Linked DNA regions of Caenorhabditis elegans. The protein of the gene in region 2 purifies or fractionates together with the protein of the main gene of each other region. This does not show direct contact. Each region holds a gene or a part of one and is shown on either strand. Other genes may lie near its edges.

Evidence for each region. Proteins that work in one complex are often made in the same cells at the same time.
Region 1: the proteins of fbp-1 (region 2) and aars-2 fractionate together in Caenorhabditis elegans (co-fractionation; one large-scale study listed by BioGRID). This does not show direct contact.

Annotation. Positions count from the first base shown.
Region 1 is NC_003279.8:3,981,546-3,987,124, forward strand, and holds aars-2 (Alanine--tRNA ligase, cytoplasmic), read left to right. Parts: upstream 1-1,637; 5' UTR 1,638-1,659; coding exon 1,660-1,803; intron 1,804-1,853; coding exon 1,854-2,042; intron 2,043-2,092; coding exon 2,093-3,263; intron 3,264-3,313; coding exon 3,314-3,989; intron 3,990-4,059; coding exon 4,060-4,612; intron 4,613-4,665; coding exon 4,666-4,839; 3' UTR 4,840-5,036; downstream 5,037-5,579. UniProt on the Caenorhabditis elegans protein: Catalyzes the attachment of alanine to tRNA(Ala) in a two-step reaction: alanine is first activated by ATP to form Ala-AMP and then transferred to the acceptor end of tRNA(Ala). Also edits incorrectly charged tRNA(Ala) via its editing domain.
Region 2 is NC_003279.8:2,580,505-2,587,785, forward strand, and holds fbp-1 (Fructose-1,6-bisphosphatase isozyme 2), read right to left. Parts: upstream 5,621-7,281; 5' UTR 5,619-5,620; coding exon 5,437-5,618; intron 3,874-5,436; coding exon 3,477-3,873; intron 2,425-3,476; coding exon 2,062-2,424; exon of another isoform or gene 1,230-2,061; intron 783-1,229; coding exon 699-782; 3' UTR 511-698; downstream 1-510. Other genes in the region: ptr-12 (SSD domain-containing protein), read right to left, coding at 7,192-7,281.

The sequences.
Region 1 (5,579 bases), 1.4 Mb from region 2:
AAAGAAGGCTTAGAAAATTTAGAATTTGATTTCAATTTTGAGTACGCCAGTCGGAGCACGCGCTTCAGCGCGTGCGAACGGCTGGTATATATATATATAAGTTATTGGTAAATTGTAAATAAGTTTGTAAATGGTTTAAAATAAACCTCACAATATTTTGTACTTCTTCTTAATTGATTCTTCGTTTCTAAAATTACTTGAATAACCCAATAAGAAGTAGCTTTGTCTTCAGTATAAAGATCAATTTTTTTGGCGATGGATCACTTGTAAATAGTAGCTGAAGTCTATATTTCTTGCTCTCTACATTCAAACCATGCATATGAAAAGAATCTGTTCTCGTGAACGTATGTTCTATAGAAGGCACCTCCAGGATTCGCTTTCGAACGACCGATGCAGATTTTTTCGAACAAAGAGATAAAATGAAAACGTCTGGTTCATTCATTTCCTTGAGCAATTGTGAATGAACCACACTTGGTAGAGAGAATAATTTGACGGACATTCTAGAAAAAATTCTGTAATGTTGCGTACTTGGTTTAAAGTTATGCTATACAACTAAATTAATATCCAGTTGAGAAAATGAAGAAAGTTTAAATAAATGTAAAATTAAAAAAAAATACAACGATTTTCAATCAAAGATTAGAGTGAGTCTTTCGGAGAAAAAGAGCAACTCAATGACCAGCTTGAATTTATCGATCTGACAAGACAAGAGATTTTATTTCTGAAGAGCGACAGTGATATTCCATTTTCCTTCGGTTCTTCGTATTATTTTCTCATTTTTCGCTTACTATTAGTATTATATCGATTAATCAATTATTTTAATTGTTTTCGAAAAACGAGCCCGTAAATCGACACCACAGTAGTCATTTACATAATTACTGTAGTTTTCGCTACGAGATATTTTGCTCGCAAAATGCTGCTCAATACGCATTCTCAGAATTTTGTGTTCCTGTACTAAAAATCTATTCCACGTAATTCTAAAACTAAAGGTTCACAGATATATCAGTTTTTCAGATTTAACACTTTTTTCGGGTTTTTTTGTAATTTCCCAATTTTCTTAAAATTATCATGTTCGGCACTATCTTATTATCTATCCAGTTGTTTTTTTTTCAAATGAAAATCAATTTATTGCTCCACAGAAAAACATATTGAATGCGGTGTTGACAAGTTTTACCGAGTGAGAGACTACACAAATTTTAGAGATGGAAAAGAGAACAATGTGTGCTGGGTCTTTTATGAATCGAATCGTTTACAAATGGATTTGCGTTCATTCCTATTTCATTTTGATGATAAAAATGAAAGAAATTGACCAAATTTTCTACCGCAAAAAATTAAATTTTGAAAATGAAGTTTTCCCGCGGTTTTCATAGAAAGTGTGCGGCGCTTGCGTTTGGACTCCGCCCACCTCACTGAAATGTTTCCCGCACTCATTCTTCATTTTATTCGCTATTCTTGTCTTTTTCCGCGCTTCCGCTTTCTTCCGCGCACTGTTTCGATTTTTCTTTGTTCAGCTTCCTCGTTCTCGCACCCAATTCGCACCGAATCGAATTCGATTCATTGCGAAATCTCTCGTAATCTCGCCTCCCCTATTTTTCGTCGTTTATAAGTTAGCAAAAACAATTTTAAAGTTTTTTCTTTCAGAGCAACCTCTCCTGGGTTACTATGAAGCACCTGACTGCCTCAGAGGTCCGCTCTACCTTCATCAACTTTTTCCGAGAGAAGAAGGAGCACACTTATGTACATTCGTCGTCTGTTATTCCGCACGATGACCCAACTCTTCTTTTCGCCAACGCGGGAATGAACCAAGTAAGAATATTCAAACGGCTTTTCTTGCAATTAATAATTAAAATTTTCAGTTCAAGCCGTTGTTCCTCGGAATCGCCGATCCAAACAGCGACCTTGCCAAGCTGAAAAGAGCCGTGAACACGCAGAAGTGCATTCGCGCCGGTGGAAAGCATAACGACTTGGACGATGTCGGCAAAGATGTCTACCATCACACATACTTCGAGATGCTTGGAAATTGGTCTTTCGGTGATTATTTCAAGGTTAGAAATTGATTTAGTTAATTAAATTTCTTTAAAAAAATAATTTTCAGAAAGAAATCATCACATGGGCTTGGGAACTTCTCACAACAGTATACGGAATCCCAGCGGAACGTCTTTATGTGTCGGTTTTTGGTGGCGACGAGGCAAACGGAGTCCCCGCCGACTCTGAAGCTCGTGATATCTGGAGATCCGTCGGAGTGCCAGACGAGCGCATTTTGAACTTCGGTATGAAGGATAACTTCTGGGAGATGGGAGATGTTGGACCATGTGGACCATGCTCTGAGATTCACTATGATCGCATTGGAAATCGTGACGCATCTCATCTTGTCAACGCCGATGATCCAATGGTTGTTGAAATCTGGAATCTTGTCTTCATTCAATTCAATCGCGAGGAAGGAGGCGTCCTGAAACCATTGCCAGCGAAGCACATCGATTGTGGTCTTGGACTCGAACGATTGATTGCTGTGATGCAGGATAAGACGAGCAACTACGATACGGACATTTTCCAACCAATTTTCGAGGCGATTCACAAAGGAAGTGGCGTTCGTGCCTATACTGGCTTCATTGGTGACGAAGACAAAGACGGAGTGGACATGGCATATCGTGTAGTTGCTGATCACGTCAGAACATTGACCATTGCTCTCTCTGATGGTGGCCGTCCGGATAATTCTGGAAGAGGATATGTGCTCCGTCGAATTCTTCGTCGTGGAGTTCGTTATGCCAGCGAAAAGTTGAATGCACAGCCTGGATTCTTCGCATCACTCGTTCCAGTGGTTATTTCAATTCTCGGAGAGACTTTCCCAGAACTCAGCCGTGATCCAGTGACCGTCATGGATATCATCAACGACGAGGAGAAGCAATTCCTGAAAACGTTGTCTCGTGGACGTGTTCTCTTCCAACGCGCTGTTCAATCGCTTCCAGAAGGAACCATGACGTTCCCTGGAGATGTTTCATGGAGACTCTACGATACATATGGATTCCCAGCTGACTTGACTCAACTGATGGCCGAAGAGAAAGGATTGTCTGTCGATAATACTGCTTTCGAGGAGGCTCGCAGGAAAGCCATCGAGACATCATCAGCTGGAACTGGAAAGTTCCGTGACACGCTGGATTTGGATGTTCACGCATTGGCTGAGCTTCAACAGAAGGGAGTTCCAACTACCGACGATTCGCCAAAGTACGCTTACACGTTTACTGGAGAAGGATCCGATGCTGTGTACAGTATGTTTTTTGTTTGTTTTTATGAACTTGTAATAATTATTTTTCTTCAGAGTTTGAGCCATGCGTTGGAAAGATTCTTGCTATTCGCCGAGACGGAAAGTTTGTCGATCAACTTGCTGCCGGAGAAGAAGGAGCCATTCTTCTCGATCGGACAAATTTCTACGCCGAGCAGGGAGGTCAGATCTACGACGTCGGAGTTTTGACAAAAGTCAATGACGAGTCGAACGAGTTCAACGTGAGCAACTGCCAAGTTCGTGGTGGATACATCGTGCTTGTTGGATCCGCCGAAGGAAGCTTCTCAGTCGGTGATCAGGTCAACGAACGATTCGATGAAGACCGGAAGCAACTGATCATGAAGAATCACACCGGAACTCATGTCCTCAACTATGCTCTTCGCAAAGTTCTCGCCGATTCGGATCAGAAGGGATCACTCGTTGCTCCAGATCGTATGAGATTCGACTTCACCAACAAAGCTGGAATGACTGTTCAGCAAGTGAAGAAAGCCGAGGAATACGCTCAACAGCTGATTGACACAAAAGGACAAGTTTACGCCAAGAACTCGCCACTTGGAGAAGCCAAAAAAGTCAAGGGACTTCGTGCGATGTTTGATGAAACATACCCAGATCCAGTTCGTGTTGTCGCTGTCGGAACTCCAGTTGAGCAACTTCTCCAGAATCCTGATGCAGAGGAGGGACAGAACACGACTGTCGAGTTCTGCGGAGGAACGTGAGTACTAATTCTTTTTATATTTTATGATGATACCCGTTAAATTTTGATATAATTTTTATAATTTCAGCCATCTCCAGAACGTGTCTCACATTGGCCGCATTGTCATCGCATCGGAAGAAGCTATTGCTAAAGGAATCCGTCGTATCGTTGCATTGACAGGACCAGAAGCTGAAAGAGCCATTGCCAGAGCCGATCGACTGACTGCTCGATTAGAAGAAGAATCGAAGCATGCCGATAAGAAGGATGAGCTCTTGGCCAACAAGGATAAGTTCAAGGCTCTCCAGAAGAAGATTCAAGAAATTGTCGATGAAGCCAACGGAGCTCAGCTGCCATACTGGCGAAAGGATTCTATCCGTGAAAAGGCAAAGGCCATTCAGAAGACTTTGGATGGATACACAAAGGCACAACAAGCCGCTGTCGCTGAAAAGGTTCTTGGAGAAGCCAAGGAACTTGCTGCTGTCGCTGAGCAGCCTACTGTTCTCGTTCACGTCTTCGCCGCCAATGCTAACAGCAAAGCCATCGATAATGCTCTGAAACTTCTCAAGGACACAAAAGCAGTTATGGCTTTCTCTGTGAATGAAGATTCTGGAAAAGTTTTGTGTCTTGCTAAAGTTGATAAGGTGAGAAATTTGAAATTTTGAAACAATTCAGAAAAATAATATAATTTTTTCAGAGCTTGGTGAGCAACGGCCTGAAAGCCAACGAGTGGGTGAATGAAGTTTGCACAGTTCTCGGTGGAAAAGGTGGTGGAAAGGACGCAAATGCTCAGCTCACCGGAGAGAATGTCGATAAACTTGATGCTGCCGTCGAACTCGCCCAGAAATTTGCCCTTGCTGCAATCAATTAATTTCCCCAATTTTCAATCTATTTCCTGTTTTTCATATCGCTTCCTTTCCTCTATTTATTGTTGTCTGTTGCATTCTAGTTCATTGCTCTCCCTCCCCGTCATTATATTTATTTCGTATTTCTATTTTATGTTTCAATTTGTTTGCTGGTTTGTCGAGGTTTCAAAATGTTTATGCAGTAAATAGAGGCCAAACTTTTTCCCATTTCACGAAAACAACAATTTTGAGTGGGTTGGACGCGACAGCTGGACAGCTGCTCAACTCGCGGATCAACAACACCTCGATCGATTTCAAAAAAAAAAGTACCTTCGACTTGTCAGCCAACAAGTTTCGAAAGATTCTGGAGATTTCTGAAAGTGACGTGGCATTACACTTCAGACATCTCTAATTTGTGGCACAGCTATCTGAACATTACAATGGACAAAAATGTGAAGAACAACAAAAGAAACGGAACGGCAATGAATTCCAGATGGCGATGAATGTGTTTTACGGAGGAAAAGAGCAGATTTTTGCAATTTTGCAGATTAGAAAAATGATTTGAGAACAAATTCCAGACATATGCTTAAGAGATAAGTTTCTTGATTCCCGGTCGTGTACTGCTCTGGGACAATCAATTGATAAAAATATTAATATATCTATCCAATATATTCAATTATATATCCAAAAAGATATATCCAATTGAATTCGGGCGATTTTTCGTGTTTTATCATGAATTCTCTTGTTTTTCTAATGAAAATCGATA
Region 2 (7,281 bases):
TTCATAGATTTATCAAAAAATTTGCTGAGTTTTATTACAGGCAAACAAATTTTTGAGAATGCGTATTATGCAATATATTTGACGCGCAAAATATCTCGTAGCGAAAACTACAGTAATTCTTTATATGAGTACTGTAGGTCGATTTACGGAGCCTCGATTTTCGAGGTGGATTTCTTTTCGAATTGTGACAGCAACATTCGATTTTTTAAATTTTTTCGTAATGTTTGTGTTTTCTTCAAATATTTCATCGCTCAATTTCCGTAAATCGACACAAGAGCGCTACAGTAGTTATTTAAAGTATTACTGTAGTTTTCGCTACGAGATATTTTGCGCGTCAAATATGTTGCACTGTACGCATTCTCTGAATTTTTTGTTCCCGTAATATGTGAAAAGGATAAAAATGGGGGTTTTTTTTGACCGAAAAATTCGATTTCCAAAAAAAAATTTTATTGCAAAAAATTTTCTAAAATAATTTTCTGCTCCGCATCGGTTGGCTCTTCGTACAAAATTCCTCGACAAAAAAAGTTCATATAATTTTCGATTAGCATGCAATATATACCAAATTTGGCACAAAAAAACGTGGAAAAAACAGTTGAAATTAGAAAAAATAAGAATAAGTGCTGAAGAATGAGGGTGATGTACATGTAAACATTTAAAAAGAACTACTACTCGAATAAAAAAATTTGACTTGGGGGACCCTAATTATCATATTTGGCAAGATATTCGAGAGCCTCCTCGACGTCGAGTTTCGATCCGAGAATGATTGGAGCGCGTTGGTGAATCTGAAGAATTTGTTTTTTTTGAATTTTTGGAATGTTTTAACAATTTTTTTAAAAGTAACTTTCGGGAAAATTTTTTTTCAAAATTTTTATATAAATTTTTACCGGAAATTGTGTCTCAAAAATTTAAATTACGCCGAAATTTAAACTTTATGTTAGGAAAATAGACAAATTGGCGGAATTTAAAATCTCCGGCAAATCGGCAAATTGCCAAAATTGAAAATTTCCAGAAAATCGGCAATTTTCCAGAATTGAAAATTTCCGGCAAATCGGCCAATTGCCGAAATTGAAATTTCCGAAAAATCTGCCAATTGCCGGAATTGAAATTTCCGGCAAATCGGCAAATTGCCGGAATTTAAAATTTCCGGCAAATCAGAAAGCCGGCAATTTGGTTTCACGGTTTTTTCTCCTCGATTTGTGGAAAATTTCAAATTTTTTTCCGCTACACACCTGTGTTGGCTGAATATCGAGAATGCGTTCTTTTCCAGAATTGAAAATTTCCGGCAAATTGGCAAATTGCCGGAATTGAAATTTCCAGAAAATCGGCAAATTGCCGGAATTGAAAATTTCCGACAAATCGGCAAATTGCCAAAATTGAAATTTCCGGCAAATTGCCAGAGTTGAAATTTCCGGCAAAGCGGAAAATTGCCAGAATTGAAATTTCCAAAAAATCAGCAAATTGGCGGAATTTAAAATTTCCAGAAAATCGGCCAATTGCCGGAATTGAAAATTTCCGGCAAATCAGCGAATTGCCGGAATTTGGAATTTCCGTCAAATTAGCAAATTTCCGGAATTGAAATTTCCGACAAATCGGCAAATTGCCGGAATTGAAATTTCCAGAAAAACGGCAATTTGCCGGAATTGAAAATTTCCGGCAAATCGGCCAATTGCCGAAATTGAAATTTCCGAAAAATCTGCCAATTGCCGGAATTGAAAATTTCCGGAAAATCGGCAAATTGCCGGAATTTAAAATTTCCGGAAAATCGGCAAATTGCCGGAATTTAAAATTTCCGGAAAATCGGCAAATTGCCGGAATTGAAAATTTCCGGCAAATCAGCGAATTGCCGGAATTTGGAATTCCCGTCAAATTAGCAAATTGCCGGAATTGAAATTTCCGGCGAATCGGCAAATTGCCGGAATTTAAATTTCCGCCAAATCGGCAAATTGCCGGAATTGAAATTTTAGGAAAATAGGCAAATTGCCGGAATTGAAAATTTCCGGCAAATCGGCAAACCGGCAATTTGGTTTCAGGGTCTTTTCTCCTCGATTTGTGGAAAATTACCTGTGTTGGCTGAATATCAAGAATACGTTCTTTTCCAGTCGTGGCGAGACCTCCGGCCTGTTCAATGATATAAGCCATCGGATTACACTCGTACAACAAGCGGAGCTTTCCATTTGGAGCCGATACAGTTGGTGGATAGAGAAAGATTCCTCCGTTGAGAATTGTACGATGAACATCGGCAACCATCGACCCGACATATCTCTGTCCCATTGCCTTTTTGCCGGCTTCTGGATACTTTCGTGTACGAATATACTCGGCGAAACCCTTGCTCCATGTCTGAGCATATCCTTCGTTTAGCGAGTAGATTGAACCCTTTTCCTTGCATTTCATATTTGGGTGGGTTAGGATGAACTCTCCGATGGACTGAAAAATTATCGATTTTTCAAAAAAAAAAAATAACTGATTTTATTTATTTTTTTCGCTTTTTCAAATTTCGAAAAAGTGTTTTTGATTTATTTTTTCTAAGATTTTTCAATTTTTTCCTAAAGATTAAATTTTTAAAGTCTGAAAAACAATTTTTTTTTGAATTTTTAAAATTTTTCAGAGAGATTTAATCTTTTAAGTCTGAAAATCGAATGTTTTTTGATTTTTCAATTTTTTTCAGAGAGATTTAACTCTAAAAAACCTGAAAATCGATTTCGTATTGCTGTTTAAAATTTTTTAAGAGATATTTAATAAAAAACACGTTTTTTTGCGATTTGTCAAGACATTTTAGGGATATTTAATTGTTTTAAAAAAATCTCAAAATCATTTTTTTTTTTAATTTATTCAGAGGGATGTTATTTAAAAATCGGATTTTTTTGATTTTTCAAGTTTTTTCAGAGATTTTAACTTTTTTTTCAAATGAGTTTTTAATTTTTTTACAGTCCGAAAATCTTTTTTTTTTCGATTTTTTCTAGATTTTCAGAGATATTTATTTTTAATTAATTTTTAATTTTTAAAATTCTCAATATCGATTTTGTGCAATTTTTCAAGTTTTTTTTTCAGAGAGATGTAATTAATTTTTTATCTGAAAATCAATTTTTTTAAAATTAAAATTTTTGTTTTTTTTTCGGAGATTTAATATTTAAAAAAAATTCTGAAAATCGATTTTTTTTAATTTAAAAATTTTTTTAAAGAGTTATTTTTTTAATCTGAAATTTAATATTTTTAGTTTTTTTTTTAATTTGAAAAGTGAAAAATCGTTTTGTTTTTTCTCAAAATTTCAAAAATAAGGAGAAATAGGTAAAAACTATTTGAAAATGGTGAAATCTTTGATTTTAAAAAGGCTTTCAAATTAAATATCCCTAACAAGATTGAAAAAATGTCTAAAAATACTCAATTTTTCTAATTTTAACCGGATTTTTCTGAAAAAAAAAAACTGAATTTTTATCCAATTTTCACCACAAAAAAACTCGAAAAAAAAGACTACTAACAGGGTCAAGAGTGAACCCATTGACACCATCACCAGTGGACAAAACGACCATAGTAGCAGATCCATAGAGAGCATAACCAGCTGCCACCATTTCCTTTCCAGGCTTCAGAACATCATCGACAGTCGCCGGACCATCTCCACGTTTTTTGTAGATTCCGAAGATGGTTCCGATTGAGACGAGGCAATCGATATTGGAAGATCCATCCAATGGATCAAAAGTCACAATGTACTTTCCACGACGTTGCTCCTCCACCTCAATGAGCTCATCGTTCTCCTCGGAGACTAGGAGACATGTTGTGTAGCTGCTCTTGAGCATGTTGATCATGAGCTCATTGCTCAGCACGTCAAGCTTCTTCACTTCCTCGCCTTGTACGTTGGTGGCTCCAGCGATTCCGTATCTGGAATATATATATATATATATTTAGTTTTTTAAGGAATACTGAAAATTTATTTAAAGGTGGTGTAGTCAATTTTTTATTGCTTTATTAGACTCAAAATTTTCTGAAAACACCGAATTTCATAATGAAACTTCTTGAAAACTTCTCAAAAAAAAGTTATGACGGCTCGAAAAACGGCCTAAAATTAATTGAAATTTGAAATTTGACCGACTTGTCAAGCGGCTGGAAACTAACTTTTTTGAAATTACCGTCTTATTTTGGGTATATAATGTAATTATCTTGGCGTTTTCAACTTCATTTAGGTATTTTAAAGACGATGGACGGCAAGAATTGTTTAACTTTTTTCACCAAATCTTGCCGTCCATCGACTTTAAAATACCCAAATCGAGTTGAAAACGCAAGATAATTAAATTATATACCCAAAATTTGACGGTGATTTCAAAAAAATAAGTTTCCAGCGGTTTGACAAGTCGGTCACATTTCAAATTTTAACTAATTTTAGGCCAATTTTTGAGCCGTCATAACTTTTTTTTGAGAAGTTTTCAAGATGTTTCATTATAAAATTCGGCGTTTTCAGACTATTTTCAGACTATTTTGAGGATAATTAAGCAATTAAAAAAATTTCGACTAAACCACCTTTAATTTTATTTATTTTACGAGCAAGGGTGTCGGTTTTCCGAATTTTTAAAAAAATCGAAAAACGAAAAATTTTAGTTTTTTGATTATTTTTCTCGAAAATTCTGAGAATGCGTATTGCGCAACATATATGACGCGCAAAATATCTCTTAGCGAAAACTACAGTAATTATTTAAATGACTACTGTAGCTCTTGTGTCGATTTACGGAAACATTAAAAATAAGCACAAAATAAGGAAAAAAAAAGGGTTTTTCGATTTTTTTTTTCGAATTTTCGATTTTTTGAGGGGAATTCTAAAACCCGAAAAAAGTTTGATTTCCCAAAAATCGGAAAAAAAAATCTGAAAATTAACCATTAAATGTGATTTTTTATTCAATTTAATTTTGTTTATGTTGATGATAAAAACATAATATTTTATTCTAACAAAAAGAACAATTACCAAATTTTTTCGCCTAAAAAAAATCGAAAAAATTGAAAAAAAAATACGAAAAATCGAAAATTTTTCGTTTTCCGATTTTTTGAATTAATCGAAAAACCGACACTCTTAATCGAATTTCGAAAAAAAAGATCCATTCCCGTAAATCGACACCAGCGCTACAGTAATCAGTTAAAGAATTACTGTAGTTTTCGCTACGAGATATTTTGCGCGTCAAATATGTTGTACCGTACGCATTCTCAGAATTTTGTGCTCTTATAATATTAGAAATGCGTCCAAATGAACAAAAATGTCTCAAAATATCGAAAAAAAAAATGCAAATTTTAGCTAAAATCTCAAAATTTTGGTAAAAGTACGGAAATATGACCAAAATTTGAGATTTTAGCTAAAACTAGACCGATTTATCGAAAATTTGAACTTTCATAGCAATTTTTTGGCAATGTTTGCGTATTTTTAAATAGATTTTTCGTGATAAATCCCAAATTCCATACAATTTCGCGAGTCCTGCCTTCTGGGTGGCTGAAGCGATTGCCTTGATGGCGACGAGCATGTTGGTGAGCAACGCGGTAAGCTCTCCACTTGCATCGGCATGCTTACGCTGCTCTTGGAGCACGTAACGTTGAAGGGTGATCGAGTCGGTCTCGATTCCGAATTGACTGGTTTCCGAGGCCATTTCTGTAAGAATTTATTGAATTTTGAAATTTAGAAATTTAAAATAGAGAATTTTGCATTGAAAAATTGGAAATTAAAAAGGAAATCGAATTTTTACGGCGTCGAAATGGCAATTTAGATGGTAAAATCTGTTAATCTCATGTTGCCGGTCATTGAGAAGAACAGAGGCCGAGCGGCGAGATAGCATGCAAAACTGGGAGAGCACAGAGAAGCGAGCGACGGCGAAATAGAAAGGCGGGAGAATGAGGCGATCAGGCAACAAAATACTTTGTGTTGCCCGCTGATACTTTGAACTTTGTGGTAAACAAACATTAATGCGCTGATTTTTGAATATTTCGAGGTGGAAAGTAGTGCAAAATATTTAATTTAGTAGAGAAACCTGTGAAAATCCGGGAGAATCGGTCAAAGATCGCTAAAATACATTGAAAAATGAATAAAAAAGCTTTAAAACCATCATCGTTGTGAAACCCTAAGTACAGAAAAGCAATTTGTCCCATTAAAAGATTACTGTAGAAATTTTTAAGTTTTTTTACTGCTATTTTGCTAGCAACTGCTTTTGTTTAGATTTTCTTGAAATTTCTCAAGTGTTATTCTTTATATAAAGTAATCTAAAAATATTCAAAAATATTTTGAAAACACTAGAAAAATAAAAAGTGAAAAAATTTTTTTAACAATGTTTTGTAGAAATCGCAGTGAGACCCGAAGCCAGAAGGGAAGGCGTGCGCCTTTAAAGGATTACTGTAACAAACGTTTTGTTTTTATGTTTTTTAGGAAATTAATTACACTCAAAATAATAAAACTGCGTGGCGTGTACTGCAGAAAACCTAATATTTAGGCCCCGCCTTTTAATCGTCCACTCACGGGGAAAAAACAAAAATAGGGGAGGGGGGGACAGCTCGCCACGCCAACAGTGAGAAAAATAGTGTGGTGCGCGGACCTCGAATGATGTCGGCGGCTGATATTGCCTGGGGTACCGCTTTTTGCGTTTTCCCCGTGAGTGGACGATTAAAAGGCGGGGCCTAAATATTAGGTTTTCTGCAGTACACGCCACGCAGTTTTATTATTTTGAGTGTAATTGTCGTCCATAATGCTTAAAAAATCGTTTTCCAATAATAATTTGAACGGTTTTGTGATTAAAAAATATTCAATCTGACAATATATTTAGTTTTGAAGAAAAAAAAGTTCAGAGTAAAAATAAATCCGATTCGAAAAAAATTCGCCTAACACTCGACAAAATGCGAATTTTATAGTGAAAAGTTGCGGGAGGGATAGTGAAAACGTGAGACGGAGAGCGGAGAGAAATGTCCAATGTTTTCGACGATTTAAAGTGCGGTCAGTCACGTATACTTCCATTTATCCCTGGATGTTGGTCCAGAAATTTCCAGAAAAAGCAGTTGTCCACGTGTATTGGGCGAGTTATCTTTATTACCGTATTATCATTTAGAAATCACCGTAAAAATTATTTATCAAAGGGAATTGGTAAACAGTGGAGGGAAAGTTTGGCGGGGGAGAGAGAAAGAGAGAGACGCAGACAGCACAAAGATCGAACAAACATAATAGATTGGAATTCGAGATCATTTTGATTCAATTGGAGATGTTTTCGGTACTCGGAACAGTGAATGTATTCGATGGAAGATTGCAAACAGGCAGGGTAAGAGGACGAG